4 linked regions of the Elephas maximus indicus genome follow. The protein of the gene in region 1 interacts with the protein of each later gene in a pairwise test. Links are inferred from orthologs where the notes say so. Each region holds a gene or a part of one and is shown in the gene's direction. Other genes may lie near its edges. The genes, in order: COIL, BYSL, SNRPF and PDLIM5.

Evidence for each region.
Region 2: the proteins of COIL (region 1) and BYSL interact in binary tests that used the Homo sapiens proteins (3 or more experiments, as listed by UniProt). The link is inferred for Elephas maximus indicus from reciprocal best matches to the Homo sapiens genes COIL and BYSL.
Region 3: the proteins of COIL (region 1) and SNRPF interact in binary tests that used the Homo sapiens proteins (3 or more experiments, as listed by UniProt). The two-hybrid records come from large-scale screens. The link is inferred for Elephas maximus indicus from reciprocal best matches to the Homo sapiens genes COIL and SNRPF.
Region 4: the proteins of COIL (region 1) and PDLIM5 interact in binary tests that used the Homo sapiens proteins (3 or more experiments, as listed by UniProt). The two-hybrid records come from large-scale screens. The link is inferred for Elephas maximus indicus from reciprocal best matches to the Homo sapiens genes COIL and PDLIM5.

What each region holds. Positions count from the first base shown.
Region 1 is NC_064837.1:37,099,044-37,106,847, forward strand, and holds the start of COIL (coilin), read left to right. Parts: upstream 1-4,790; 5' UTR 4,791-4,820; coding exon 4,821-5,065; intron 5,066-7,804. Other genes in the region: SCPEP1 (retinoid-inducible serine carboxypeptidase), read right to left, coding at 1,038-1,104. UniProt on the Homo sapiens protein: Component of nuclear coiled bodies, also known as Cajal bodies or CBs, which are involved in the modification and assembly of nucleoplasmic snRNPs.
Region 2 is NC_064819.1:106,347,299-106,354,965, forward strand, and holds the start of BYSL (bystin), read left to right. Parts: upstream 1-4,651; 5' UTR 4,652-5,016; coding exon 5,017-5,284; intron 5,285-7,667. Other genes in the region: MED20 (mediator of RNA polymerase II transcription subunit 20), read right to left, coding at 519-673, 4,480-4,493. UniProt on the Homo sapiens protein: Required for processing of 20S pre-rRNA precursor and biogenesis of 40S ribosomal subunits. May be required for trophinin-dependent regulation of cell adhesion during implantation of human embryos.
Region 3 is NC_064822.1:161,191,144-161,198,489, forward strand, and holds the start of SNRPF (small nuclear ribonucleoprotein F), read left to right. Parts: upstream 1-4,329; 5' UTR 4,330-4,459; coding exon 4,460-4,462; intron 4,463-6,719; coding exon 6,720-6,845; intron 6,846-7,346. UniProt on the Homo sapiens protein: Plays a role in pre-mRNA splicing as a core component of the spliceosomal U1, U2, U4 and U5 small nuclear ribonucleoproteins (snRNPs), the building blocks of the spliceosome.
Region 4 is NC_064823.1:60,104,024-60,111,736, reverse strand, and holds the start of PDLIM5 (PDZ and LIM domain protein 5), read left to right. Parts: upstream 1-4,705; 5' UTR 4,706-4,802; intron 4,803-7,713. UniProt on the Homo sapiens protein: May play an important role in the heart development by scaffolding PKC to the Z-disk region. May play a role in the regulation of cardiomyocyte expansion. Isoforms lacking the LIM domains may negatively modulate the scaffolding activity of isoform 1.

The sequences.
Region 1 (7,804 bases):
GCCAGAAGAGCAAAACATTCTACATATGGCTAAAACATTACAGATGTGGCTAGAAGATGTCTCCTTGGGCACTTCTTTCTCTCTCTCTCTCTGTCTGTCTGTCTGTCTCTCTCTCTCTCTCTCTCACACACACACACACACACACACACACACACGGTAGATAACTTTTACCCTTACTCATACAGGTAAGGCAAGATTACAGTCTCCCTGAAAATGACAGATATGGATCCGATCACTTTGGACCCCACCCCTGCACTCCTCCCTTCCCTGGCAGGGACCACTGTTAAAATTTTGCGACCACTGTTAAAATTTTTCAGACAACATATTTTACAACATTTCCCAGACAAAAAGCTGAAGGGCCAAATGACCCCCATTTTACAAAAGGGAAAACAAAAACTATTAAGCAACTGTCTAAGGTCACATGATAAGTGTGTGGCCAGTTCAAATCCTCAGTTCTTGATCCAGACCAGCAGACATTTTGGTGAGCCATTAAGAGTGAAAAGAGTCAAAAGCAGTTTGCAAATCATCATTTTAAAAACGACTAGATTTTTGTCAAAAAATTTCCATGTGCGGGGAGATGTTACCTTGTCCGTTCTGAACAGAGGGGAAAACTCTTATCTCATTAAAGGTCTCATTCATGGTACGGCTTTAAGAGTCTTTTTGACCACATGTTTTAGCTAAAAAAAAAAAAGGCATTATAACCTCATTTAGTAGTCACAGAAAAAGGAGGTGGAAACCTCAAGATCGTGGAAGGCTCATCGATCGGCAGTTTCCACAAATAATACATTATTGCACAACGGCTTCTACTAGGACAGGGAGGAAGGCGGGGAAGCCAGAACCCAGGACAGGGTAGAGGAAGCATTTACAATAAAAAAACAACAACAAAAAACGGGGTGGGTGAGTTCAAAATCAATATAAGAACAGGGAAAAAGAGACCTGTCAAAAGTACAAGCCCACTAACAAACTCTCCTCACCCCTGGAAAGAGAAAGAAGCACGAGTCGCTGATGCGGATTTCGCGACCTTTGCCCGAACCTACCTGCGCTAATGCTGAGCAGCAGCAACAGCAGTCGCGGGACGGAGCAGGAACACAGAGCCAGCTCCATGATGACCGCCGTACAGCAGCATCAGCAACAGGCTGGACCCGGCGCCCGATCACGTGAGGGCGGCGGGCGGGGCCGGAGCCTGCGCGGATCCGAGGCGGAGCCAGGAAGGTCCGAGGCGGAGCTTGGAGGCTCGGAGAAGGAGTCTGGGCGGGCCAGGGGCGGGGCCTGGCGGAGCGGCTCGCCATGTCTCGCGAGCCCTCTGCCGGGAGGTCAACCAGAATCCTCTCCATGGTCCTCAGGCTGTTCGTGTTAGTCTACCTCGTTCTGTGGGGTTTTGGGAAAAGGACCACGAGGGAGAGCTCGATCGCCGAGGCGTTTAGTGTAGTACATTTGAGTAGGATTTGAGGGTGCAGGTTTGGTTCGTGCCACTGGGCTGCGAGGCTCCTGAGGAAGAATTGCAAGCACGGTCCTTTCTGCCCCGCCCGCCTCTTTCTTCCCCAACAAAAGGCCTGAAATTTCAGAAACTGAGGCATCTTCCCCAAAAGCCTGACCCAGCTGATGGTTGGAAACTGCGCTTCCATTTTCAGAGATTTGCTTTTTAAATTCCCTTTCTTTGTAAATCCCGTATATTATGGATGTTTTAGAAATTCAAAAAAATTTTAGATTACACAATCATTGTTGACATTTGGAATTTTTTTCTAGTCTTTTTACTTCGTTTTTTTAAACACGATAATAAAAATACTCTTTAAAAAATCTTAAAAGCTTATCGTTGACATTATTTTGTGTTACTTTGTCTTCATAACAGGCATTTTAAAGAGAGAAGAAAGGCTTGGGAGGAGAAAGGGAGGAAAAGTGGATGGCAGAGATTTGTGTGTGTGTCTGAAGGCCATTTTTATTATTTTTTTTAATTTTTATTGTGCTAAAAGCGAAAGTATACAAATCAAGTCAGTCTCTCATACAAAAATTTATATACACCTTGCTATTTTTATATACTCCTAGTTGCTATACCCCTGATGAGACAGCACACTCCTTCCTTCCACTCTCTTTTCGTGTCCATTCGGCCAACTTCTGACCCCCTCGCCCTCCCATCTCCCCTCCAGACAGGAGCTGCCCACATAGTCTCATGTGTCTACTTGGTCCAAGAAGCTCATTTTTCAACAGCATCATTTCCTGTCCCATTGTCCAGTCAAATCCCTGTCTGAAAAGTTGGCTTTGGGAATGGTTCCCGTCTTGGGCTGACGGACGATCTGGGGACCATGACCACTAGGGTCCTTTTAGTCTCAGTCAGACCATTAAGTCTGGTCTTTTTATGAGAATTTGGGGTCTGCATCCCACTGCTCTTCTGCTCCCGCAGGGGTTCTCTGTTGTGTTCCCTGTCAGGGGAGTCATCAGTTGTAGCCAGGCACCATCTAGTTCTTCTGGTCTCAGGCTGATGTAGTCGCTGGTTTATGTAGCCCTTTCTGTCTCTTGGGTCATTTTTATTTTTTAGGGCTTCTGAATAACTCACCTCAATGAGCTAGGAAACAAAATACAGCCCAGGCTGTATGAGGGTCGGATTACCTCTAAATGCTGTCTCAAACGTATGTGTGATGGTCAACGACGAATGTCATTAGGGGATTGCAAATTAAAACAATGAGATACCACTACACTCCTAAATTGTTAGTTGTGAGATGCCACAGGGTTTTCTAGGCTCTAATCTTTACGGGAGCAGGTCGCCAAGTCTTTCTTCCAAAGAACTGCTGGGGGATTCAAACCCCCAACCTTTCGGTTAGGAGTGCTTAACCTTTGCACCATTAGTGCTCCTTATAGGACATTTTGTGTGTGTGTTTGTGTGTGTGTGCTTTAGATGAAGGTTTACAAGCAATTTAGTTTCTCATTAAACAATACACATATTATTTTGTGACACTGGTTGCCAACCTCATGACATGTCAACACTCTCCACTTTTCGAACTTGGGTTCTCCATTACCAGCTTTTCCTGTCCCCTCCTGCCTTCTTGTCTTTACCCCTGGGCTGGTGTGCCCATTTCGTCTTGTTTTCTTTTATGGGCCTGTCTAATCTTTGGCTGAAGGGTAAACCTTAGGAGTGGTTCAGTATTGAGTTAAAAGGATGTCTGGGGGCCATACTCTTGGGGTTTCTCCAGTTTCTGTCAGGCCAGTAAGTCTGGTCTTTTCTTTTTGGTGAGTTAGAATTTTGTTCTCCATTTTTCTCTGGCTCTGTTGAGGACCCTCTATTGTGATTCCTGTCAGAGCAGTCAGTGGTGGTAGCCAGGCATCACCTAGGTGTGCTGGATTCAGTCTCTGGTGGAGGCTGTGGTAGTTGTGGTCCATTAGTCCTTTGGGCTAATCTTTTCCTTGTGTCTTTGGTTTTCTTCATTCTCCCTTACTCCAGACCAGGTGAGACCAGTGGAGTATCTTAGATGGCTGCTCACAAGTTTTTAAGACCCCAGGTGCTACTCAACCAAAGTAGGATGTAGAACATTTTCTTTATAAACTGTTACGCCAATTGAGCTGGATGTTCCCTGAGACCATGGTCTCCAGTCCTCAGCCCAGTAATTTGGTCCCTCAGGGAGTATGGACATCTCTATGGAGCTTCAGTGACCTTGCCTTGGTCAGGTTGTGCTGGCTTCTCCAGTATTGTGTACTGTCTTACCCCTTACCAAAGTTACCACTTATCTATTCCTTACAGGACATTTTTAAGGGAATGAAGCTATTTTGAATGATATTGTAACGGTGGACACTGACATTACGTATTTATCATATATTTGTATGTATGTATATATGCTGTTAACCACAGTGCCACCAGGGCTGTATGTATATATAGAGATAGCCCTGGTGCCACAATGGTTAAGAGCATTAGATTACAGGAAAATAAAACTTCCTTTTTTTAAAAAAATTTCCATGTATCTACTGACTACCAAGAGTTCCGGTTGCTGAGTGGTTAAGTGCTCAGCTGCTAACCAAAAGGTCAGTAGTTGGAATTCATTAGCTGCTCCTTACAAACCCTATGGGTGCAGTTGTACTCTGTCCTATAGGGTCACTATGAGTCAGAATCAACTCAACCACAATGGGTTTGGTTTTGGTTTTGGATACCTTTAGAGGAGCACTGGTGGCGCAATGGGTAAGAGCTACAGCTGCCAAACAAGTCCACCAGCCACTCCTTGGAAACCCTATGGGGCAGTTCTACTCTGTCCTATAAGGTCACTATGAGTCGGAATTGACTCAAGGGCAACGGGTTTGGATACATTTAAAAGAATGGTTAACGGTTTTATTTATGCCCCATATTCACAATATGCTAGGAATTACATCTTTGCAACTCTTTATGATGAAAAATTTTGTCAACTAAATGCTCCTTGGAAACCCTATGGGGCAGTCTATTCTGTCCTATAGGGCTGCTATGAGTCGGAATCGATTCAATGGCAAGGGGTTTGGTTTTGGTTTTTTAGAATTCTTTTACGTATACGAGCGAGTATGTTAGAAGACCACTGCTTAGAAGAAGTGCTTGTTTTTCCAGATATTTGTCTAAAGTCGTCCTCGACATACGCCTAAAATCGGTAGGAGAGGATTAAAGGCATTTTATTTATACTCTGGCTTGGCCCTGTCGTGAATGAAATTGAATCGAACCAACCAAGCTCCACGTTCTTGCAATTCAGGAGGCCTGTAGTAGCCACGTGCCACCAACAGGTGGCACTCGTTAAAGGCTCCAGGCAGCTGGTCGCCCGAGCACGCCGCTCCGTAGCCCTGTGGTATCTCCCGGCTTCCGTTGAGCGCCGAGTAAGATGGCAGCTTCCGAGACGGTTAGACTACGGCTTCAATTTGATTACCCGCCGCCAGCCACCCCGGACTGCACTGTCTTCTGGCTTCTCGTCGACTTGAGCAGATGCCGAGTTGTCACAGATCTCATTAGTCTTGTCCGCCAGCGCTTTGGCTTCAGCTCTGGGGCCTTCCTAGGCCTCTACCTGGAGGGGGGGCTCCTGCCCCCCGGCGAGAGCGCGCGCCTGGTGCGAGACAACGATTGCCTCAGGTGTGCGGTGGGTTGGGGGGCCGCCGGGGGCGCGCCTGCGCACGCTCGGGGGCGTGAGGACCTGGGGCCTGCGGGCGCTCGGGTCGCTGGAGACCCCGGCGTGGCTGGGAGGTAGGGGGTGGGGCTGGGAGCCTGTGGAAGCGTCGCTGTTGAAAATGCAGATTCGTGAACCCCGGAGATTCTAATTGGCCTAGTCGTGTCTGGTGCTCAGGAATCTGCATTTTAACGCCATCCCTCCTCGGGATGCTCCTGATGTGGGTGATTGGAGAACCAAACTTGGAAAAGCGCTGATTTAGTGTACGGCAAGGCCCGTGTTTCTTTCAACCTTGGTTTAACAAGCCCTCCGACACTTAACCAAGCGCGGTACACCTGATGCAGATGTACCTGAGACCTGGCCTTCCCCTTGGCGGATCTCAGGGTCTGGGGCAGGAGACCCAGGTAAACAAAGAGGAACAGTTCTGTTTTCGTAATGTCCAAGTTGTCCAACCTTAGTTCACCTGCCGTATTCCCTGAGACTTCTAGTAGATGTCATTCTGTGTCGTACCCGAGTGTTTTGGGATTCACTCAAGTAGGTGTTTGTATCCTTTAGATTTGTGAATTGAGAAAACACAGAATAGTTTTAAATGTGCTTTTGGAAATTTTGTAAAATGATACCGAAGTGAGCATCGAGGAGTAATTGTACTGTGAATTCATCATATATGGTTGATTTCTGTCAATAAAATGGTGAGACATGATCATTACAGTTGAGATTCATATCTTAGACTCATTTATTGAAAGCCTTTTTAATATAAATATCTATATGTGTGTGTATATATCTATATAGCTTCAGCTACACTGAGTTGATTCCAGAGATGTGGACCAGCCTACTCCTCTTGCTTGCTCTGGGTTGTTGTTAAATATTCCTTCCCCCCTCTACCCCCACAGCATGTCAGTTTCATGAGATTTCTTCAGAACATCAGAGAATTTAATTTGGAATAATTACTATGTCTTTGAGTGTGTGTGTCTTTCTCTTAAATTAGGAACAATATGATGTATTAATAGCATTCAGCTGTTTCTAACGATAATTTGAAGCAGTGTACATTTCTAAAAGGGTTTCTTTTCTTTTTTATTGACTGTGAAATAGATCTCCATTCTCCCTGCAATTCAGGGACTATTTTTATTGTAAGGATTGTGTCCCCTTCTGCCAGCTGCCTGAGGACTTAATAACTTGCCTCTAGCTAACTACATTTATATCTCAGTTAATGAATCATCTGGGAATCATCCTCTTTATAATTAAATTAACAGTGTCAAAAAGAAACCATGAAAGATGTTGTAAATAATAAATACAATACAGTGGTAGGTGAAATTCCTCCAAAGTGCTTCAAATGCACAATTGCATATGGCAGTAAATACCTCTGTAGCTGCCTTTGGTGCTTAACAAGGCAGACCTCAGGGAAAAAAAATGAATTTGGAAAAATGTTGTTTGCTTTTGTTATTTCATGCCCCCAATCATTTTCTGCCTTCCTCTCGCAAACGCACTTCAGAGCTATAACAGAAAGCATAGTCACTGTTCTCAAAACTATCTAATATTCTTGGAGTAGACCAAAATAACTAGTTTCATGCTTCTGTATATTATCTTCTTGTGTGATGCAGGCAATTAGACCAATTAGTTAGACTGTAATATACTGCTAAGTGCAGAGGATGACTCAGAAAGGAGAGATCAGCATGTAACAAAAATGGCCAGGGAATTCCACAGTACCTTGAAGGATGGGTAGGAAATGTTGGTTGGCCACAGCACAATTGTGGAGGCAAGAGCTTGCCTGATTTGGTAAAGAGACAAGTCTGACTTGCAGAAGGATTCTGTTGGGACTACAGAGAAAAATTACACTAGGAAAAGTGGAGCCAGGTTATGGGAATCCCACATTTTTAGCCTGAGAAACTGGATTTGCTGCAGCATTTTGAGCCTAGAGGCTTGAGAGACATCTGGCACTTGTGTGCTGGCACCATTTCCTCACAGCCCATTCCCTTAAGCCCCTGTATTTTGACTTCATCAGCTCCCAAGCTGCTGACATTGAGCTCTTGGTCTCCAGGTCTCCTGGAAGGAGGAAGTGCCCTCCTTTGCTTAGGGGGATCGCCCTGTTGAAGAATCATTCTGTAAGGAAGCAAAGTGCATCCTTTCTTCCCTCCCTCTTTTGACCCCCTGTGGCATTTGGTACCAGATTTAATATTAGAGATGGGTTCTTTTTTCATTTGTCGTTAACTATTGGCCCCTTGGAGATGCAGCCAAGCTCCAGTGAAATGTCTGTGAGGACTGGCAGTGGGAGGTAAGAGTATAGAGTAGCTGAACCAGGCTGAGGACAGTTTGGTGCCCTGAAACGTTGAGTGCCAGAGAAAATAATTGCCATTAAAGTTGTCTGGCTCTAGGCTTCTTGAGACTAAGTATTGTTTCACAGCGTGCTAATGGTTTCTGGGCTATAAAATTTTAGACCCTGCCCTCTCTCTCATGTGGAGGAGTATGTTTGTCTAATGCCTATGAGCAGTCAGTGGAGACCAATAAAATTAGACCTTGCTGCTTTAATTTCTGAAACATTTGTAGTCCCTTCCCATCCTTTTATTAAAAACAAAAACAAAAAAAAGCTTGTCGTTAAAAAAAAAATTATACTCCAAAATAGTTTGAGATAAAAAGTCCTCCATTTCTCTTCTCACACACTTCTCCCACACTCCCTTCTCTAGAAGTGTCTTCAGTTAGGCTTGGAGTAC
Region 2 (7,667 bases), on another chromosome or scaffold:
TCTTTCCCTCCCTACCATTCACACCCCCATCTCATCAGGCAATGCATTTAAAACAAAAGTTGGTCAAGGTTATGCTGAAGAGGTAGCCAAGGCCACTGGCTAGGTGTTAGAAAGTACTTAAAAAATCATACATGAGATTCCTGAGCCTGAAAGGAGTCTTCCTTAAACTTTAGAGTACATAGGGATCCTCTGGGATGCTTCTTAAAATGTAGATTACGAGACTTGCAACACCAGTCAGTCAATCAGTAAGTGGGGCCAGGAATCTGCACCTTTAACAAGTAACCCAGGGGATTCTGATGCACTTGGTCACCAAACCTACCCTTTGAGAAACACTGCTTTAAAACAGTTGAAACGAAAAACAGCCAAAAATAGCCCCAGTCTAAGACATGAAGGACCAAGAATTAAGTTCTTGTTCAGGAATACCACTCTTAGCAGAAGAGCAGACAGACTTCAAAGAACACAAACGTCCAGCAGCTCCAAGTCTGGTTCCAACCATCCTACAGACCCGTCTCACTGACCTTGGCTGCCAAGGGTAGAGGCAGCCGTGTGGTAGGTCTCACAGTCCACACAAAATGTTCCTTGCTTCTCTGCCCCAAGCATCTCCAATTTTCGGGTAAGGAGCTCCACAGTCTGCTGGACACTCTTGCCCTCGGCCACAGGCATCTGGGACACGCTGGAAGAGAGAGAACCAAAATCATCAGTATCCAGAGACACACAGGCCTCACTGAGCCACTCACTCACAAAATCATAGCTCATCAGGCCCAGGAGTTACCTGAGAGACCACTCACCCTGACCCCCTCATCCCTGAAAGTTTCTCTAGAAACCAAAGCACAGGCCTCAGAACTCTTACACCAGTGCAGCGAACTTCTTATCACTCTAGCATTTCCCAAGTGTAGTACGTGTGCCACCATTCAAGAGAAGACTTTAGGTGGCACACAGACTGAGCATTCCGTAACACTGACTCCTGTCATGAGAAAGAGATTCCCTGTGCATTTCTTTCAGTTCTGACTACGTCAAGGATAAAGTATGTTTGGACTTCGTACACTTTTACCAATTCTCTAACACTCTGAACTTGGGCTATAAGTACAGTAGCCACTAGCTACATATGGCATATTTAAATTTCAATTAATAAGACAAAATTTAAAATTCACTCCCTCAGTTAAAGAACTACACACATCGCAAGGGCTCAATAGCCACATGTAGCTGGGGGCTAGTGTATTAGACACTGCTGATACAATGGGCACTACTGATATAGAACATTTCCATCACTGCAGAAAGGTCAACAGCCCAAGGAACAAAGAGAAAGCAACCTCAAGTTTATCATCTTTGGAGATGAGAGGCAACAATATCTATGAGAATTTAATACAATGCAACAAAAAAAAATGTTATTTCCAAGGTGTCCTTCTATGGTGAGTGAAACTGCTTCCTCTTTAGGATGATAGGTGACAATTACCAACCATCTACTTACTATCTGCCAGGCAGTATCCTAAGGTCTTTAGATGGATTAACTCTTCAAATCCTTGAACAGCTGTATATGAGGCACTATTACTTTTCTCTTTGTTATAAATGAGGAAATTGTTGTTGGCTGCTGTAACTTGCCGAAGGTCACATATCTAACATGTGGTGTAGCCAAGATTCAAACCAGGCAACCTGGCTCCCACATCTATGCTCTTAACCACAATAGTAATCTACCTCTCTAAGAATGTAAGTTGATGGTTAAACTAAGTTTAAGAAAAAAAACAGATTTAAAAGAAAACATTAATAAACACTACAGGTGGTACTTAGCTATGGCAAAAACCAAAAAGACAATCAAGACACTTCACTAAAGAAGACATTCTGGTAGCTAACAGATACATGAGGAAATGTTCACGATCAATAGCCATTACAGAAAAGCAAACCAAAACTACAATGAGATTTCACCTCACTCCAACAAGGCTGGTATTAATCCAAAAAACACAAAATAATAAATGTTGGAGAGGCTGTGGAGAGACTGGAATGCTTACACACTGCTGGTGGGGATGTCAAATGGTACAACCACTTTGGAAATCGATTTGGCGCTTCCTTAAAAAGCTAGAAGTAGAACTACCATACGACCCAGCAATCCCACTCCTTGGAATATATCCTAGAGAAATAAGAGTCTTTACACGAACAGATATATACAGGCCCATGTTTACTGCAGCACTGTTTACAATAGGAAAAAGATGGAAGCAACCAAGGTACCCATCAACAGACGAATGGATAAATAAATCATGGTATATTCGCACAATGGAATACTATGCATCGATAAAGAACAGTGAGGAATCTGTGAAATATTTCATAACATGGAGGAACCTGGAAGGCATTATGCTGAGTGAAATTAGTCAGCTGCAAAAGGACAAATATTGTATAAGGTCACTATTATAAGAACTTGAGAAATAGTTTAAACTGAGAAGAAAACATTCTTTTGTGGTTATGAGGGGGGAGGAAGGGAGGGTGGGAGAGGAGTATTCATTAATTAGATGGTAGATAAGAACTACGTTAGGTGAAAGGAAAGACAACACACAATACAGGGGACGTCAGCACAACGGGACTAAACCAAAAGCAAAGAAGTTCCCTGAATAAACTGAATGCTTCAAAGACCAGTGTAGCAGGGGCATGGGTTTGGGGACCATGGTTTCAGGGGACATCTAAGTCAACTGGCATAATAAAATCTATTAAGAAAATATTCTGCATCGCACTTTGAAGAGTGGCGTCTGGGGTCTTAAACGTTAGCAAGTGGCCATCCCAGATGCATCAATGAGTCTCAACCTACCTGGATCAAAGGAGAATGAAGAACACCAAGGGCACAAGGTGATTACGAGCCCAAGAGACAGAAAGGGCCACATGAACCAGACACTACATCATCCTGAGTCCAGAAGAACTAGATGGTGCCCGGCTACAACCCATGACTGCCCTGACAGGAACACAACAGAGAAACCCTGAGGGAGCAGGAGAGCAGTGGGATGCAGACCCCCAATTCTCATAAGGCCAGACTTAATGGTCTGACTGAGACTAGAAGGACCCCAGAGGTCATGGCCCCCAGACCTTCTGTTGGCCCAGGATAGAAACCATTCCCGAAGCCAACTCTTCAGACATGGATTGGACTGGACAATGGGTTGGAAAATGGTGAGGAGTGAGTTTCTGGGATCAGGTGGACACCTGAGACTATGTTGGCATCTCCTGCCCGGAGGGAAGATGAGAGGGTGGAGGGGGTTAGAAGCTGGCGAAATGGACATGGAAAGAGAGAGTGGAGGGAGAGAGTGGGCTGTCTCATTAGGGGGAGAGTAATTGGGAGTGTGTAGCAAGGTGTATATGGGTTTTTGTGTGAGAGACTGACTTGATTTGTAAACTTTCACTTAAAGCACAATAAAAATTATTTAAAAAAAAAAAAAGAAAGAAAATGCCTGAACCAAAGCTATGAGAAACAAAAGTCCTAGGATTCTTAAAAAAAAAAAAAAAAGGTAAGGGTCCCAACAGACAAAGTGTCAGGGGTTTCCAGGGTCCCAAGCCTCCATGTTGCAAACTTTTCATTCCCATCCCTCTTACACTACAGGACTCAGAAGAGAATCATATATCAACTGTGGGAAACATGGGCATAATCACTTGCAAGCTTTCAAGAGCCTGGGCTACCAGGAGAAAAAAATGCTCCTACACACTTTTATATGAGAAGCCTACAGCCACTGACTTCAGATATTCTGGGCTCCAGCCCCTCTGACTGGAAAAATGTTTTAATGTCTTTGAATGGAATGACATTAAAACGTCCTGAAACTAAGCCTTTTGGAAATAATGCCTCTGAGAGCATTAGGCCCACCTTTCCCTCTTCCAACTGAGACTTACAACATGTTAGAAATAAAAGGCCGATAGAAACTACACCAACCATGGAAGCCAACATAGTAGGAAACACGTCCTGAAGAGGTAAAGCAACTAGAAGCCCATCTTCTAATTCTCAGTGGCTTTGTTTTTACTCTTGACCCGAGGTATTAAAACGGCGAAAATGAAACTAAACACAAACTGGTCTCACTGCACTTTGTGGCTGTAGGGAGGATCAGGCAAAAACCTAAAAGAAACACTGTCTTCTCCTTGCCTACCCTCCACTCCCTCCAGCGTTGCCTGCTGATAGGTGCCAGGCCGGAGATGCTACTTCCGAAGCTGAAGTCCTATTACTAGCAGTAATATGGCCTCACAGGCAGAAAGAAAAAAGGGAGATACAAACATTAATGGGTTTCTGGGATAAAACCTTTTACCTGCCGCCTTCCAGGGGCTCATTTTCGAGGAAACAGGCCCGGAGAACCCGCAGCCCTCACAGTGTGCCTCTCATTCCCACAACACGGAGACATCTTGCTAAGCTCCCTGGGGGACGGCGGACCCTGGTAGTTCCTCCCAGGTCTGTTCGAGGCTCCGAAGGTCCTTCACGACCCCCAGTCTCGCCCCACAAAATCCCGAGCGGTCCTGCAGTCTTACCAAGTCACTCCCATGGTGTCCGGCCAAGAGGGTTGCAGCTTCAAACAGTTGAAACTCAGCACTCTCGATGAAGTGAAACCCACTAAGGAAAGCTTCGAGCGAGGGAAACGCCCCGGAAGTTACGTAAAAACAGTGCGCCTAGTCGACGCGCCACGAGGAAAGAGACCTGCCTGGGCAACCCCTGGGTGACGCCTCCAGCAACGTCATCCGCTCAGTTCCCGCCCCTAGGTTTGCAGCTTCGGAAACTGAGATTTGGCTGGGCATCCAGGGCCTGGGTCCATGAAGCTACGAAAGCATGGCTCGGACTGCCACCCCATAGAGGAACCAGCAATGAAGGTATTCGAGTATCTAGCTCCAAGGCTCACGAGCTCTCTTAGGAGGGGGGGAGAAGCTGATGGCACTTCTGGCCTCCGAACGCTGGGGGTCGCGCTGTTCTTTGCGCTGCCTCTTGGGAACTGAGAGTTCACTGCGCAAGCGCGCTGGGCTTCTCTCCTCGGTACCCACGTGTAAATCTTCCCGGTAACTTTTTTGAGGAAAATGCCAAAATTTAAGGCGGCACGCGGGGCTGGGGATCGGGAAAAACACGCGCCCCTGGCGGAGCAGATCCTGACTGCGGACGCAGTGCGGGCGGGGGCCCGGGAAAAACGGAGGGGCCGCAGGACCAGAGAAGAAGAGGAAGAATATGTGGGCCCCCGGCTGACCCGACGGATTTTGCAACAAGCGCGGCAGCAGCAGGAGGAGCTGGAGACTGAACATGGGACTGGAGACAGGCCCAAGGCGCCGAGGGAGCGCACCACGCGGCTGGGTGAGCGGTGGCGGGCGGGTGGGCGAGCGGGGGTGGGGGGCAGAGTGTGCGACGAACACAGCTTTGTTGAGGATGGACGACTTAGAGGTGACTTGCAAAGGAATAACTGGGAATTAAAGAAGGGAGTCCATATTACACTCTTACAAAGGTATTGGAGTAGGAGCCGAGTCGTGGAGCGAATTTAGAGTAGTCAGAGCCCCACCACGCCCACTCCTAGTTTTAAGCTCTTACTCCCCGGCATCCCCAAAGTTAGACCAGGTTCTCCTAAGCAATGATCTTTTTGTTCCATAAATATGTATGGGGTGCTTACTACGTGCCTGGCACTGTGCTAGGAGTTTGGATTCAGAAATGAACAAGGTAGACACTGTCTCACTTCAGGACCCAACAGTCTAGAAAAGAGACAATTAAATAGACAACTAGAATAATACATTCCATAATAAAGAAACTACAGTTTCTCCAGTAAGGAATAGCATAGTCTTGGGTGTCAGGAAGGGCTTTCCAAATTAACCTATTAGCTGAGACTGGTAAAATGACTGAGGGTTAGCTATGCCTAAGACATCACACTTCTGTTTTACTGCTACTTCACCTCTCAGTCTTTTTTGCTGGCTCCTCTGTTATTCCCAACCTCTAATTATTGAAGGGCTCAGTCCTTGGACTTCTGTTAAACCCACATACTTCTCTGGTGATGTCATCAAGCTTCATGGTTTGAACACCATCTGTTTGCTGACTACTCCCAATCTTACATTCCAGCCCAGATCTCTTCAGTGGAACCCAGATTCAATATTATATCCTACTTGGCATCTCCAACTGGAGGCCTGATAAACCTGTTGCTGTGGAGTAGATTCCGACTCACAGCGACCCTGTAAGACAGAGCAGAACTGCCCCATAGCGTTTCCAAGGAGCAGCTGATGGATTCGAACTCCGACTTTTTGGTTATCAGCCTAGTTCTTGACCACTGTGCTACCAGGGCTACAGGAGATCTAATAAACATCTCAAATTTAACATGTTAAAACTGAAATCCTGACCTTCCTCCCCAAACCTGCGCCTCCCACTGTTTTCCTCATCTCAGTTTGTAGCACGATAACTTCCCATTGTTCAAGACAGAAACCTTGGACCCTTCTCTGTCTCCACACCCAGTCTGTCGAGAAATCATGTTTGACTCTACCTTCAAAATGTATTTAGATCAGACCACTTCTTACCACCTTGGAACACCACCGTACCACTCTGTTCCAAGCCGCCAAGATCTCGCAATTGAATTATTGTAGGAGCCTCCTCATTAGTATTTCTTACCCCTCCCCCACAGTCCGTTCTCAACTCAACAGCTAGAGGATTGCAATAGCCTTCAAAGCCCTATCTGTTCAGCCCCCTCACCCCCATTACCGTTCTGGCTTCTTATACTATTTTCCCCTTTGCCTTGTCCACTTCATCATACCTATATAGGCTTCATTGTTGCTTAAACATGGCAGTTCAGGGCCTTTGCCCTGGTTATTCTCTCTGCCTGGGCTGTTCTGTCCCCATACGCCTGTAGGCTCACCTCCTCAGTTACTCACCTTTTCAGAGAGGCCTACCCTGACCACTCTAATTAAAATTGCAACACCCCATCCCTTCTCTCCTCTGCTCCACTGTACTCCAACTTGTATACTATACTCTTAACTTTATTTTCATAGCCCTTGTCATCTTTTAACCCAGTATGTTTTACTTGTTATGTTTGTTCCTTGCCTGTCTCCTCCAATTAGAATGTAAGCTGTACAAGGACAAAAAATTGTGTTACTCTTGTTCAGCGATCTATTCCTAGCACCCTGAACTGTGCCTTACATACAGTAAGCACTCAGGGTTTGCTGAATGAATGGATTAATGAATGATGGCGAGGTAGGTAGGAGCCAAGTCTCCAAAAGACCTAGAGGCCATGCCTGGGATTTAAAACTATCCTAAAGGGAATGGGAAACTACTGAAGAGTATGTTGAGTGCAGGACCAATCAAATGTGTATTTCTAGAAGGTTATTGTGGCTGCAGAGTGGAGAATGAGTTGGAGGGAAGTAAGGTTGAAAGTATGGAGATCATTTAGAAGATTCTTGAATTAACCCAGGCAAGAGATGATGCTGGTCGAGGTTTAGATAGGGCTGTGAGGGATTTGAGAGATATTCTACAAAGTGGAATAGGACCTGGTAATTGTCTGGGTGTTGGGGGTGAGGGTGCAGGATGAGGCGGGACTGCCTCCCAGGCTGTGGTATGGCATTGGGTGAATGGTGGTGCCGTTTGCTGAAATGTGGAAAAGAGTGAGTGGTGCAGACTCAGGAGGGAAAGAGAATGAGTTCATTGATGACATGTGATGTTTGAAGTGCCCATGCGTCATCTAAGAACGGCTATATAGAAGGCAGTTGGA
Region 3 (7,346 bases), on another chromosome or scaffold:
TTTTATAGTCTAAGTCTATCAATTCAGTCATTCATTTATTCACTCAACAAATTTACTGAAAATCGATTGTGGCAGGGAATGACTAGTAATAATAACAAATGAGTTAATAAAAAAAAATTCTCGCTGATATAGAGTAAAACAAACGACAAGAAAAAAAAAAAACCTTGCTGGCCTGGTGTGTTACAGAGTAGAACTGGGTGGGTTTGAACCACCAACCTTTTGATTAGCAGTCAAGCACAAACTGTTTGTGCCACCCAGGGACCTTTTAAAAGAGAGTACCAAACCTGTTGCCGTCAAGTTGATGCTGACTCATAGCGGCCCTATAGGACAGAGTAGAACTACCTCATAGGGTTTCCAAGGAGCGGCTGGTGGATTCAAACTGCCAGCCTTTTGGTTAGTGGCCTATCCCTTAACTACTGTGCCACCAGTGCTCCATAAAATAGAGTACAATTAGTGTTAAAACAAGATAAGATTGTGTAGGCCCATGTGACAGGATAATAACCTGAGGAAGACAGCGAAAGCTTCAGTTATAAAGTACCCATTTGAGCTGGACCAGGAACATTAAGATACGGAGGAATTTTCCAGGCTGAAAGTACTTTTAGGTGAAGGGACTATCAAGTGTAAGAACATGGCCTGTGGTTCTGGGAAAGGCTTTTGTTTGTGGGACAGAATGGAAAGAGATGAATCTATAGAGAAAAGCTGGCAAGGATTTGTTAAGGCTGCTAGAAATGGGTAACCAGAAAGGTTGGTGAGCAGAAGAGCAATAATGTCCAGATCTCCATTTTGTTTTGGAGGAGGCGGGTGTTTGGAGATACCTCTGGCAACAGGGTAAAAAGACGAAGAGGTAGAATAACCAGCTTTATTTCTAAAATTTGGTCCAATGGAGACATTTGAGGCATGAGGAAAGGTGGAAGGAGGTTGAAGGCAAAGGAAACTGGGGGGGGGGGGGGGGGAATTCCATGAGATGCAGGTTTTATTCGTTTTGTTTTTTGAGAACAGTGAGGTCTCCATTTATAGAGGTTCACTTCAAAGTTCCAGGCGGTCAATCAGATGTTACTCAAAACACCATTGCCACCTTGTGGACATATGGCTAAGAACTGAAAAGGGTTTAATGTTAATATTTAACACTAGTCATCTAAACCTAAACCTAACCTGCTGCTGTTGAATCAATTCCGACTCTTAGTGACCCTATAGGACAGAGAACTGCCCCATAGAGTTTCCAAGGAGCTTCTGGAGGATTCAAACTGCCAACCTCTTGGTTGGCAGCCATAGCACTTAACCCCTATGCCACCAGGGTTTCCAGTGGTCATCTAGTTAGTTAAGTGATTCCCAGCCTTGAAGGCTTCTCTTATTATCTACCCTCCCTCTAAAATGAATCTATGAATAAGTGTCATTTATTGACAATTTACTTTCCCATTTATATAAATGTCAATTACAGCTTCTGATCCATGATAATCAACCAGTATTTGCCTTCTGATTTCATTCTAATCAAAAGCAGAAAGCATGAGGTTTTAGTCAGTCCATACAGTATTCATTAAGATAACTGCACAATTTTTTAAGTTTTGGGTTTGTTCGTTTATTTTTAAATAACGAAGACAGTTTTCAAAGTCCCAATACTGTATGCAGAGCGATCCAGGTTTAGGGGCTAGCATTTATAAACCATTGATCTAACTCAGATTTTTCCCCCCCCTTAAGCCTATCCTGGCCATGATAATTAATTCTGACCATAATTATAAACAAAGAAAATATTGAGTATTATGGGAATAAAGGAGAGAATATAAAAGGAAGAGCTCATCAATCTCAAAAGTAACTTCCTAAACTCTATCTTCCTCCACCCTGCATTCATATTGGTATTTCTATGTATTTGCTCACTTGTTCTCTACTCTAACTCAGTTTGGGGAGAGGTAGCAAGTATAAAGGAGAAATCCTGGGCTTTGGAGCCACTTTCAGTCTATGTGGCCTTGAGCAAAAATACTTAACCTCTCTGAATGTGTCTCATTTCTAAAATGGGAAGATTAATACTTACCACGAAGTGCTGTGAGGATTTAAGTAAGATCCCATCGCTGTGGAATTGACTCTGACTCATAGTGACCCTATAGGACAGAATAGACCTGCCCCATAGAGTTTCCAGGGAGTGGCTGGTGAATTTGAACTGCCGATTTTTGGTTAGTAGCCAAGCTCTTAACCACTGTGCCACCAGGGCTCCTCAAGTAAAATAAATTACATGAAATACCCTTGTACAACATGGCAGGCGCTCAGTATGTATTAGTTCCTTTCTTCAAAAAAGGTTTTAAAGTTCCAGGAGGGCAGAGATCACACGTCCATTTCATTCCCCACTATTCCCCCCGAGTGCCTAGTTCACAGTATCAGTACTTGCTGCTGTTGAATGGATTCCTACTCACGGTGACCCCACGTCAGAGTAGAACTGTGTTCCCTGAAGTTTTCAGTGGCTACTTTTTCAGAAGTACGTCAGGCCTTTCTTCTGAGAAGCCTCTGGGTGGACTTGAACCTCCAACCTATCAGTCAGCAGTGAGGTGGTTAACCGTTTGTACCACCTAGGAGCCTGTAGTAAACCCTCAATAAATATATCTTGGTCATTTAATAAATTACTTTTTAGACGCTTATTTACAGCTAGGTTTCATCCTAATTAATAATTGAGGAAAGTTCCCTCAGAATGTGCTCAAGATATATTCTTTCCCATCTCGAAAAATTTCCCCCAAGAGGAGCCCTGGTGTGCAATGGTCAAGCATTGGGCTGCTAACCAAAATTTCAAAGGTTCGAACCCACCAGCTGCTCCTTGAGAGAAAAGACCTGGCAATTTGTAAAAATTACAGCCTGGGAAACCCTATAGAGCACTTCTGCTCTGTCCTTATAGGGTTGCTATATGTTGGAATCAATTTGATGGCACACAACAACATTACCCCCAAATTAAAACTGATTATTCTGGTGGCTATTCTGTTGAACCACATACAAATATGGCAATAAATATATTTTAAAACCTTGAAAATAATAATGCCTATTAACTCAAGAATTATACTCCTAGGAATTTACTGTAAACAATCAGAGATACATTCAAAGATTCATGTAAAATTATGTCCAAAGCACATCATTTATAATGGGAAAATGGAAACAACAGAACGATTAATAAATGATCACATATTCACAAAACAGAATAATGGAGACATTAAACCACACTTCAGAAGCATATTTAATTATATGAGAATTTTCCCAATATAAAGTGAAGAAAACAAGTTACAAAACGGTATGTAGATTATTTTTTAAAACAGCATGCGTTACAATAAATAGTACATTAAAAAAGTTAATTTTTTTTTGATTGGTGGGATTATCAGTGACTTTTGGTTTATTTTTTAGAATTTTCTGTATTTTCTAAGACCCCCACAAAATGTACAGCATTTATAATTAGAAAAATACCAACGACTTTAAGGTATTTAAATTTAATATTTAACATGAGAAAAAATCAACTTCAAACATCTTTACACAGATTACTGTAAGATACTGTTTCACTTCACAGAGAAAACAGCAAAGTCAGATTTCTAAGGTATATATTGAATGACTGAAAGGATGCTTTAAGTAAGTCAAAAAGCAGAGTTTGGGGGTTGAAACTCAGTTATGGAATAGTGGGCAAGTTACCTGCTGAGCCTGTTTCCTCATCTCTAAAATAGGGCTGTAACTGCCAAATCAAAATACTGTTTGGGAAGATTTCTATGATAACAACTGTGAAAGAGCCTAGCCCAAAGTAGGAACTCAAAGTCTGCGTAAAGGCTAAATATTTATTGAATGATCATCAAACTAAAAGAAAACTCACGGAACTTTGAGATAAATAACTCCAAGAACTGCTTGGCTTAAACTATAAAACCCAAAACCAAACCCGCTGCCGTCGAGTCGATTCGGACTCATAGTGACCCTACAGGGCAGAGCAGAACTGCCCCATAGGATTTCCAAGGAACGGCTGGTGGACTGGAACTGCCGACCGTTTTGGTTAACAGCCGAGCTCTTTACCACTGCGCCGAAAGAGCAAAGGAAACCTCTATTAGCCAAGTTGACGAGAAATCACGTCCGTTCTACACGATATATAGCATCTCCCAGGCGGGAAGTCAACACAAGGCTTTTCCTGCCACCCCATCGAGGAAGATGGAGTCGGGTCCCTTAGCCTTTGAAGTCCGGCCGAAGACTCCTCACGGGTCTCGAAGCCCGGAAAGCATGCCGCTGGTTGCCAGGAGACACTGCACAGCCACCTCCTCCAATCAGCACGCGTCTCTTTGTGCCCAATCAGAGAAGCCAGACGGGCTGGGTTAGAGGTGAAAGGTCACGCTGCTTTTTGGCGGCCATTTCTCTTGGAGTGCCGCGACTCCGGGCCTAGAGCGGCTGCTTCGATCACGAGGGACGGACAACAGCTGGGTCGGCGGCGAGGATCCTACACCATTCACCCGTAGTCACGATGGTAAGGAGAGAACGGCGTGAGTCGCCGGAGAGGGAGAGCGACCGGTCTAGACAGGCCTGGTAGTTGTTTCGCGCGTTCCCCATTCATCCATGTGAGAATCCGTGAATCTCGCCGCCAGTCCCTTTCTCCCTGAGTTGGGGACTTTGAGGGCCTCCCGGTGCCCTCCCCTCCCCAGCATCCTGCTCTCTTTCCCGCTCTTCTTCGTTTGAACCCAGGCCTGAGGTTTCCTACCTGACCGAGGCCACAGGGCCAGGGTAAAGATGAAGCGGGACTTTGGGACGCTCCATTTTCACTTCCTGAGTATCACACTCCACAATCCACTTTGATTCAAAGATGTTAGGACCCCCCGCCCGCAGCCCTCTGGAACCCAAAGCACAGGCTTTGAAGCATTCGTGTATTCGTTCCGGAAATCTTTATTGTGCGCATCCACCTGTCAGTTACTGTTCTAGGCGCCAGAGGTGGTGGGTGAAAAGTACTGATGCGGACCCTGCGCTCTGTGTGAACCCATAGTGGGATGTGGGAGACAGGCATTGATCAAATAATAACAAATAAACATACAGTTACAAATAATCCTAAGAAGGAAGCAAACAGGATGCTTCGTACATTAGATAGGTGATCAGGGATGGCTGCCCTGATAGACGGCATTTGACGGTACATCTAAATGACATGAAATACGGTCCCTTAAAGAACAGGAGAAAGAGTGTACCAAGCACAGGGAACAGGAGCAAAGCCTTTAAGGCCGGGAAGAAAGCTTGACATTTTCCAGGAGTTGACCCAAAAGCCACAGTGCTTCTTGTGGAAAGAGGAGTTATGAGATAGGGTCAGAGAGGCAGGCATTGAGCTGAACCTTTTAGGCCATTTTAGTAGGTTTGGATTTTACTTCAGGTGCAATTCGAAGTTATTGAAGCATTTTAAGCAGAGGTGTGACATTCGATATATACCTTAAAAAATAATAATACTTGCTGTATTGTTAATAAACTGGAGAAAGATGAGTGAAAACTGGACACCTATTAGGAGGTTATTGCAGTAGATCCTGTGTCCTGTGAGATCACTCTGAATATGCTTATCTTAAAAGGATTGGGTAGCTAGGTTTCTTGGTTCTTTCCTTCCTTTGAGCTGATGGGAAAGCAAATGAGGGAAGGAGAAAAGTCTGAATTCACTGGGGATTCTACTGTTTTGCTGAATAAACAAACATTAAGTGAAACCCTGGTGGCCCAGTGGCTAAGAGCTTGGATGCTAACCAAAAGGTCATCAGTTCAAATCCATCATCCGCTCCTTGGAAACCCTATGGAGCAGTTCTACTCTGTCGTGTAGGGTTGCTATGAGTTGGAATCTACTCAACAGCGGCGGGTTTGGTTTTTTTGGTTTTAAGTGATTGCCTACAATATGTAGCAGGCGCTGCTGGGCATTGGTAATACAAAGCCAAATAAGACCTAATCCTAGCCCCTAAAATTAAAGTGAAGGTTCTGGCCCCTGCTTGCTTCTGTAGCCTCATGTCTGGGTACTCTGACAACACTGAATTGTTTGTATATCTCTGAGGTCACCTTAGGAGTCCCTGGGTGGTGGTTTCAGTTAAGCACCCAACAACTAACCAAAGGGTTGGTGATCCGAACCCACCCAGAGGCGTCTCAGAAGAAAGGCCTGGCATGCAGTTACCACGAGTCAAAATTGACTAGGGCAGCTGGTTTGAGCTTACCTTGTTGCTACACCCTTAGCTGCTTTTACATCAGTCCTTTTTCTTCTCCGGAAGCACCTCTCTTCCTTTAAAACTGAGGCATTACTTATTTCAGGCAACCTTTCCCCCGTATTGGTTCAGTACTCCAGTGTGTATCTGCACTTGGTACATCTGTCCATCTGTATGTATCCCGCCCGCCCCCAGCCCCCGCCAGCTACTTGAGGACAGAGACTATATCATCTGCTGTTTTTTTTCTTTTTTAGTGTCTTCACCTTTGTTTCTTTAGAGCCTGAAACAGTCTTTCTTAAGTGAATAACAAACTTCTAAAAGTTTTGATGAGTTGAAGATGAAACTGGCTGATTGGTTGTTTAAATTTTCCTGGTGCTTTTCAAAAAATAATAGTCAAAATTATGTATTAATTTTCACAATTTAAAAAGTGAAAGGGAATCAAGAGTTTGCATCACTTGGATACATAAAATATTGGTGGATGATTTGGTAGAGAAGAAAGCGTGGTGGAAGCCAAGCTAAGGGAAAAGAATCAATTGAGTCCTTTATTATTGTTATTATTTATTCCTTGTGCAGAGTTTACCCCTCAATCCCAAACCTTTCCTGAACGGATTAACAGGAAAGCCAGTGATGGTGAAACTTAAGTGGGGAATGGAGTACAAGGGCTACCTGGTATCTGTAGATGGCTATATGAACATGCAGGTAAGCTAGAGTTACAAAAGTTATAAAATTGTATTTATTATATTCCACCTTGTTCCTCAGAGGTCTTAATGTGGCTTACAGAATGCATACAATGAAACTGACAAATATAAAGCAAAATCAGGAATAAAGTCAAGGCCGGGAAGATGCTGTAACTCTGATATACAAGGTACAAGACTTGGGGTTAACCCAGAGTTCAGCCACAGATGATTCCTCGTGGTTAAAGTAAGAAGAGCTCAGACATTTGATTCATAATGCCATAAGGGAAACAAAAGAGTATGCTGGAGAAAGCAAAACTTTTCCCAGCACTTAGCTCTGAAAGAAGTTTCTCAAGTGAAACTCCTGAAATGTTTTTTAATGAATGCTAAAGGGACAATACCAAAGTAATTAAAAAATCAAAGCATTTCTTAACGGGGAAGACAGGCCAGACAAAGGGATGGATGGACTCACTGCATGTCTGTTAAATTAGCTTCTATAAATATTTTAGCCAGGTTTTTGATGAAA
Region 4 (7,713 bases), on another chromosome or scaffold:
GTTGCTTACTTCCCTGTTCTCAGTTTCCACAACTATCAAAAAACAAAAAAGAAATTGCCATCAAGTTGACTCTGACTCATAGTGACCCTATGGGACAGAGTAGAACTGCCTCAGAGGGTTTCCAACCTTTTGGTTAACAGCCGAGCTCTTAACCACTGTGCCACCAGGGCTCCGAAGCTATCAAAAGGAAGTAAGGTTACCCTCCCTATTTAGAGCAGTAGTACTCAGTGACTCTTATTTAGATAGCTTTGGGGAGCAACCCAATGATTCTTATATGCAGCAGAAACTGAGAACCCGTGCTATAAAATTTATGTGTGTATGCTTTAAGAACTAATACCATAATGTAAAATGGCTTATAGAGTGTGTGCTCAAGAAATGCTGATCCCCTTCTTTGAGAATTCCTGTAAGATTTTTGTTTTGAGATAGTCTATTACAACACTTCCATTTACTGCTTGTTTTTCAGATGTTTACTACTCAGACTTTGTTCCTTGTGATATTCAATTGAACTAGATTTTGCCTGTATATGATAGGCTAGTGGGCATGAGAATGAGTGGTTTTAAAGACTAAGAGCTATAAGATTTCTGAAACATTATAAACTTTTTCATAAAATAAAGTATTTTTAAGTACTATAAAGTTTGATAAAGCCTTGTAAGCATGAGAATAAAATACTAGAAAATGGGTCCATAAGTTTGTGGTTGAATTGTAAACAGTTTTTGTTGTTGTTGATCTTGAACACTTAAAACATAATTGTTTCTTAGCACACGGATGAGTTTTCAGTTTTTAAGATCATGTTGGCAGCATTAACTCTCCCAGGTCAATGCTAACGCATTAAATTATATCCTAGATTGCCAAATGTTAATGTTTCCCCTCCATTCTGGACTTTAAAAATTAAATACTCATACCTATGAGTGCTTTATTTACTTTTCAGGATTAGGACTTTGAAGATAAATTGACTTAGAGTAATGTGGGAATTTTTTTTTTAAAGACTGGCACTTTATAGTTCATTGGGTGCGACTGCAAAAACTTGTCATAGTCATGCTATCTTGTAATTAAAAGTTGCTGTTATTTTTGTAGTACTGCAAGAGGATTCTGAGTCATACATTGGATAATAAAATGTTAGAGCAAACATTTATACACTGAGGTGAATACTGTATTTAGATGGAATATTCTTAAATACTCTTCCTGCTAAATCAGTTAATACTTGATCTTTTTTTGTTTTTTCCATACTCTAACTTTTCTGTGCACTGGTTAGGATAAAGTGAAACTTTTAATATGGTTTTCTTTGTGGTCAGTGTCTCATCGGTTAGCTGTAGAGTTAACAAGGCCAAGGACACTGTTTTGATTTCCCAGTGGATCAGCTATCTTCTGGCTATTCTGTAGTCACAGACTGTCCTTCAAACCATGGCCAACCATTTCATAAACATTAGTCATGAGGGAGATGGAGAAGCGGAGTCAGTAGGACTCAGGGGCAGCTCATCACAGAACAAGTTAAAGCACATGCCCTACGGGAAGTGGTTCAGTAGTTTCATCCTCCCTCATTTTTTTCATATACAAATAATCCTACGCTTATTTTATTTCAATAATTTGCTTCAGACTGTACCTCTATGGCCCTCAACAGCGTTAGTTGCTATAGTTTTCATCTTTCTCTGATCTTTAAGCTGGTTGGGTTACTGAATTTACCAAGAAGCAGTGTGTTGAAGTGAAAAGAACGTGGTTTATGGAATCAGACTTATTAGTCATGTGCCCTTGGTTAAATTTCTTAATCTGCAAGTTTCTGTTTCTGCCTCCGAAAAAAAACCTATTTAGTATGGTTGTAAGAATTAAATAAGATGATGTACATAAATTACCAAATAGATAGTACATGTATAAAGAATACTAAAGTTCTCTGCTGGTCTTTTAATATACATTAATAGATCTAATCATTTGGCTTTGAATGTTTCATGTGACTACCATTTATTTAACACCTACTTAGTGCCAAGCACACTGTGGTGTTTTGTATATATTATTCTCCTCCTTATGGTAACCTCACATGTAGATATTATTTCCTTTAAGATGAAGAATCTGAGTTAAATTTTTGCTATCTGGGACTCATGGCTCTCACCTCACCTAATCAACCACCAAACGCACTGCCGTCAAGTTGATTCCAACTCACAGTGACCCTACAGGACAGTGTAGAACTGCCCCACTGAGTTTCCAGGGAGCGCCTGGTGGATTCAAACTGCTGACCTCTTAGTTAACAGCAGTATTACTTAACCACTACGCCACCAGGGTTTCCTCACCTAACCACAGTACCAGTAAATTGAAGATACAGGGCTTTTTCTAGGGAAGTGGTTTTTAAACATTATAGTTTAATAATGACCTAATGAGGATGTTTATTAAGAAGGTAGATTCCTCTGCCTCCCCTCCAAGAATTCTGAGTCTGGGTGGGGCCAATGAAAATGCAATTTTAATAATCTTTGCCTGTGTCATTTTGATGCTGTTGGTCCATTCGAAGACACTTGGATAAATATCACTTCTTATGGTATTTAATTTTGTTGATTTTACCTTATACCTCAGGAATCCTTGGGTGGTGCAAACTACTAAAGTGCTTGGTTGCTAACCAAAGGTTGGTGGTTGGAGTCTACCCAGAAGTGCCTTGGAAGAAAGACCTGGAGATCTACTTCAAAAAAATCAGCCATTGAAAACCCTAGGGAGCACAGTTCTACAGTGACACATAGCATCACCGTGAGTTGGAATCGGCTTGATGGTGAATGTTTTTTTTACCCTATACCCCAGGCTTTAAACTGAGGTAGTAGGAGGAGGATCCAGAGGCAGGTTAAAACTCTGCCTAAAACGGAATTTGTGTAAGTCAGCAACATTTCTCTCACTCCCAACCCTTCCTCATCACCTCAAGATACTTATTCTCTGCAATTCTTGATGTCTTTAATCAAACCTTCATTGACTCATGCTCAATTTCAGCAGGAAACAGATGAGGAAGTACAGAGATGGGACCATTATAGGATGTCTTTAGCTATGGCCCCCTGCAACTGTTACAAACTAATCTCTCTCAGCCTCGATTTTCTTATCTGTAAATGGCGATGACATTTCTTTTACAAAGTTATTGCAATGACTACCACGCTGTCTAGCACATGGTAGGTATTTGTAAATGATAGTGAGTTTTATTTACTAATTTTTGATGAGATGTCAACTGTGATAACATACATTTAAGCACTGCATAAACAGGCTCTCATACTAGGAAACTCCTTCCCCCCACAACATAATCCTTTGGTGGATGTAACAAAATTATGGACCAGTGCTCTCCAATGGAAATTTAATGTGAGCCACATGAATAATTTAAAGTTTTATTGTATCCACATTAAAAGTGAAATTAACTTTAATAATAATTTTAACCCAATATATAAAATACTATGATTTAAATATTAAGCAGTATAAAATCATTAATGAGGTATTTTATATGACATCTTTTGTACTAAGCCTTTGAAATCCAGAATGCATTTTACACTTCAAGGTGTCTCAATTCAGGCACTAACTGCATTTTCAACTGTTAAAGTGAAATGTAGTTCTATTCAAACAATAAGGTGTGTTTATTGGAAATATCTTTTACTCAGCTTCACTTTTCAATTAAAATGCTATAAAATGTTCCCTTATGCAGTTCTTCAGTCATACTAACCACATTTCAAACGCTCAGCACCACATGTGGTTAGTGGCTACAGTTTTGGACAGAGCCGTTTTTGACCTTCTCGTCTAGAATTGCTTACATTTCTAAGGGATTCATAGTCCCCATGAAGTTCATCCTTGGTTTATATTCCCCTTGTTTAAGGGTTGTCGTTTACACGTTTTATAAAACAGTTCACTATTTTAAAAAGTCAATAAGTTACTTTCCGTGTATTCACTGGACATTATTTAAATTTGCTTAATAATAAATACCTTGGGTTAAATCAAGCAACATTCTAGAAATTAGAAGGTAGGTGCTGATTTGGATTTTAAAAAATAAGCCAAGGATACAGTGGTTGAACCACTTTTGGTCGCTGCTCTTTGCTGCTTTCTGGTGTGATGACAGGATTTAACGTCTAGATATATTGGGTCACTGATTTTTACCTTTCTAGCAAACATACTTCATGCTCTGCACTTCTTATAGCACATAAAACCAAAGACAAAAAAGCCCACTGCCCTCCAGTCCATTCGGATTCATAGCGACCCTATAAGACAGAGTAGAACTGCCCCATGGAGTTTCCAAGGAGCACCTAGTGGATTCAAACTGCCAAACTCTGGGTTAGCAGCTGTAGCACTTAACCACTACGCCACCTGGGTGTACAGAGTACATAAAGCGCTCTCAAAAAACAAACAGGCAGTATCCGCAGAACTTGCATAGACAGGGATTTACCCAAAGCCCCTTCTATTTTTAGCTAGAGCAACTGCTTGCCAATTTGAGGTTTCTGGAGAGAGAAACGCACCTAGTACGCAATAAAATGCGAAGGGTTAGACCTTTAACAAGTATTGTCCGAAATCCCCTAAGACTACTCCCACCGAAACTCGGTAAAGCGATTGTTCTGGGATAAGGTTTCAGCCGCCCGAGCAAGCCAGCGAGCCGGTGTCTCCGGCAGCCTCCTCCGCCCCGGCGCTGCTCTGCCGGGCCCGGGGGCGGGGCCAGGCGCCGAGGGGGCGGGGCCCAGCCCGGAGGCGGGTTCGGGGAGATCCAGGAGGCGGAAGTTCCCGCAGGCCGGCGAGGGGGACGGCGCACGCACCGCGAGACACTTGTCAGCGCTTGTCTGAGGCAGAGGCAGCGCCGAGCCGGAGCCGAGGTGAGTGGCTGCTGCCGGGGACGCGCTCTCCGATCCGCGGGGAGGAGGGATAGAAGTGGTGGCTGAGCGCAGAGCGCTAGGAGGGAAGCCAGCGGAGAAGAAGGAGGGGTGCGCGTCGCACGGGGGGCGGTTTCTCAGGTGTTTTCTCGGCGCGGAGCGGGTGAGGTAGGAGGCGGCTGAGGTGGGGAGAGGAGCGCCCCGGGAGCGGAGCGCGGGAATTCCTTGAGCCCGTGCCGGCCGGGGCGAGCGTGGCAGAGCCCGGGGGCGGGAGCGAGGCGCCGGTCCGCTGTCCGAGAAGCGGAGGGCGGGCGCGGAAGGGCTCCGGAACACCCCCGCGCCACCGTCGGGCCGGCTGCCCGGCGTCGCCAGGAACCGACCTTGGCGCTCTTGTACACCGACGTCTTGCTCTAATCTCCTAGGGGCTTGAGGAGGAAGCGGGACCCAACGGGAAAAGTGTGATGTTTTTATTTGTTTGCTCTCAGTACACTGAGAAGCAAGTATTTCCTCCCCAGATGTTTACAGTTGTGTAACCTGTTTCGGAAAAGCTTTCGTGCGTCCAGAAATAAAGATCATTAAAACAAAAATGACTGTCATGAGCTCTGGATTTATTAATACTTGCGTGCATGTAGGGGTTTTCGTGCCTTTGGTAAGATTGACAATAACTGGAAAAAGGAAGGGCGTGTGGACAGGGCAGAGCTTGGAAAGAAAATTCGTAGCTGCGCTGGGCAGGGCAGGTCTAGGGTGTGATCGCCAGATCCGATCCCAGGTCCGCCTTCCTGACCGTGAGGACGTCTGAACCCGCCTGCCACGGAAACAGCCTGCTCCGGAGCCTTATTTGGCAAACAGGGCTAGGCGTGAACCTTCTGCTGGGAAACTGTTTCGTCGGGCGCCTTCATCCTGTGCCTGTGGCTTTGGTTCTTCTGCTCTACCTCCATCATCTCTCTAATCTGGGGAAAAAGAATCTCAAGCTACTTTTTTTTTAGTTTCAGGCTCTTCTTATTCAACTCATCACGAGTTCTCCACTCCTCCCCCTCCCACCTACCAAAGAAGCTGGGATAGAAGTGTAGGAAATACCAAGTTTTCTTCCGTAATAATAAAGCAAAGACATTGTTTAGATTTTCCCTAAAAGAAAACACAAAAATTCCAATATTTTCCATGCTTTTGAAAGCAGAGTAAGCTGCTCACTATTTCTTGCCTGTTGGGTATTTTCAGAATGGTTTGGGCACTAATAACCAGATGATTTTCAAGGAGACTTGGAAAAGGCCAGTAATAATATTGTCATTGCTTAGGGATCTGAATATTTGAAGGCAAATGAATTCTGAATGAAGCTAGCAGAAGGAGAAAACTAAAGAAAGGAAAACACTGATTCTGTACTGTGCCTGTGACCGGCCAGTGCTAGAAATTTTAGTAGCAAATAGAGAAATCAGGAAGGGAGCCCAAAGTAAAGGGAACTTGCATGTACAAGGGTTGATACAGAAATGAAATACATGTTCTTGTAGGAACAATGGGGCCAGGGGAAGCTGAACCCAACTTTTACATTCTTCCTGTCCCAAGTTAAGGATTAAAGAAGACGTCTGGCTGCCTGTGAAATACCAGTTGGCTTTACATGCTTCTGATTTAAATTGTGTGCTGATATCAAAACAGTTTTTCTCTCCTAGATCTATGAAAATCTCTTCATTACAGCAGGAAAACAAATTAATTGTGTGGCTCTTTAGTACCTTCCTACTCCTCTTTTTCATGTATCGTAGTTGTTTGACTTCTGGCTTAGCCTTTAGGTCTTTCTAGTGCCCTGCATCTTTTCAGTAGTGGAGTAACATTATTGCAGAGTAATACAGTGTACTACTGTGTCAGTGGAAAGGCACATTTAATTCCTAGGTAGATGCTGTACAGATTGCCACTGATCTGATTTTTTTGTAAGAATCAGACTTATTTGAAAGTTTCGCCTCATGTTCCTTTTATGAGAAGAAGGAATCTGTTTGCTTTTAATGTACTCAGTGGCTCGAATATCTGCATCTGTCACTATGAATTTGGTGTGGTGGCATAGAAATTTTGAATGGGTTAAACAAATGCGAAACACTTTAAGAGAGCTAATATAAAGTGATCATTTGGTTAAACAACTCAGATTATCCCAGAAGAACATTTTAAACAGCCTTTAAAAAAAGTTTTTAAAATTATGCATATTCTATTATATTTTTAATATTTTTCAAAGAAGGAACTATTATATTCCTTAGTATTCTACTGAAAAAAATAAATCCCCGTTCCTCCCAAGCTCCCCACCCACATAAAGCCACATAACAACCAATACCAATCTTCGAGTTATATTTTTTTGTGCTGTAATTATTTTGTTTTATAAAAGTACTACCATGAGAGTCATTGTAAGCACACCAAAACACAGGGAGAAAAAAATAACAAAACCCTGAAACATTTATTCTTTTCTAAAACTCCATTCAGTTGACTACATTAAGATTAGCTTTGCACTCCTATCATGTTTCTTATTCATCATGTAGTAGATGGTTACTTTAAGGAGGTGTGTGTATAAAGTAAAAGCAGTAAATTCTAACTAAAATAGTACTGTGCTAGAGTATTCCCTATCATTGACTATGCAAAGAGAAAGTATACAAGTGTGGAAAATATCGTATTCCTATGGGAGCAAATACAAATTGTAGTTAATGACTGAAGAGAATAGTTTTGTGCATTAAAAAAAATTTTATTTTAAAGACCTCAGTATTTGGAATGGGAGTATATTGATTTGCAGTCCCTTTCTTATGTTAGAGTAACTTAGAACTTAAGTAAGCGAAATTGAAGTACTTTTGCTAACTGAATGCATGAAGGCATGAGGTGGAGAGAAGAGCAACATCATTTTGAATTAAACATGGAATAAAATCTTGTTCTTTCCTATATACATATACAT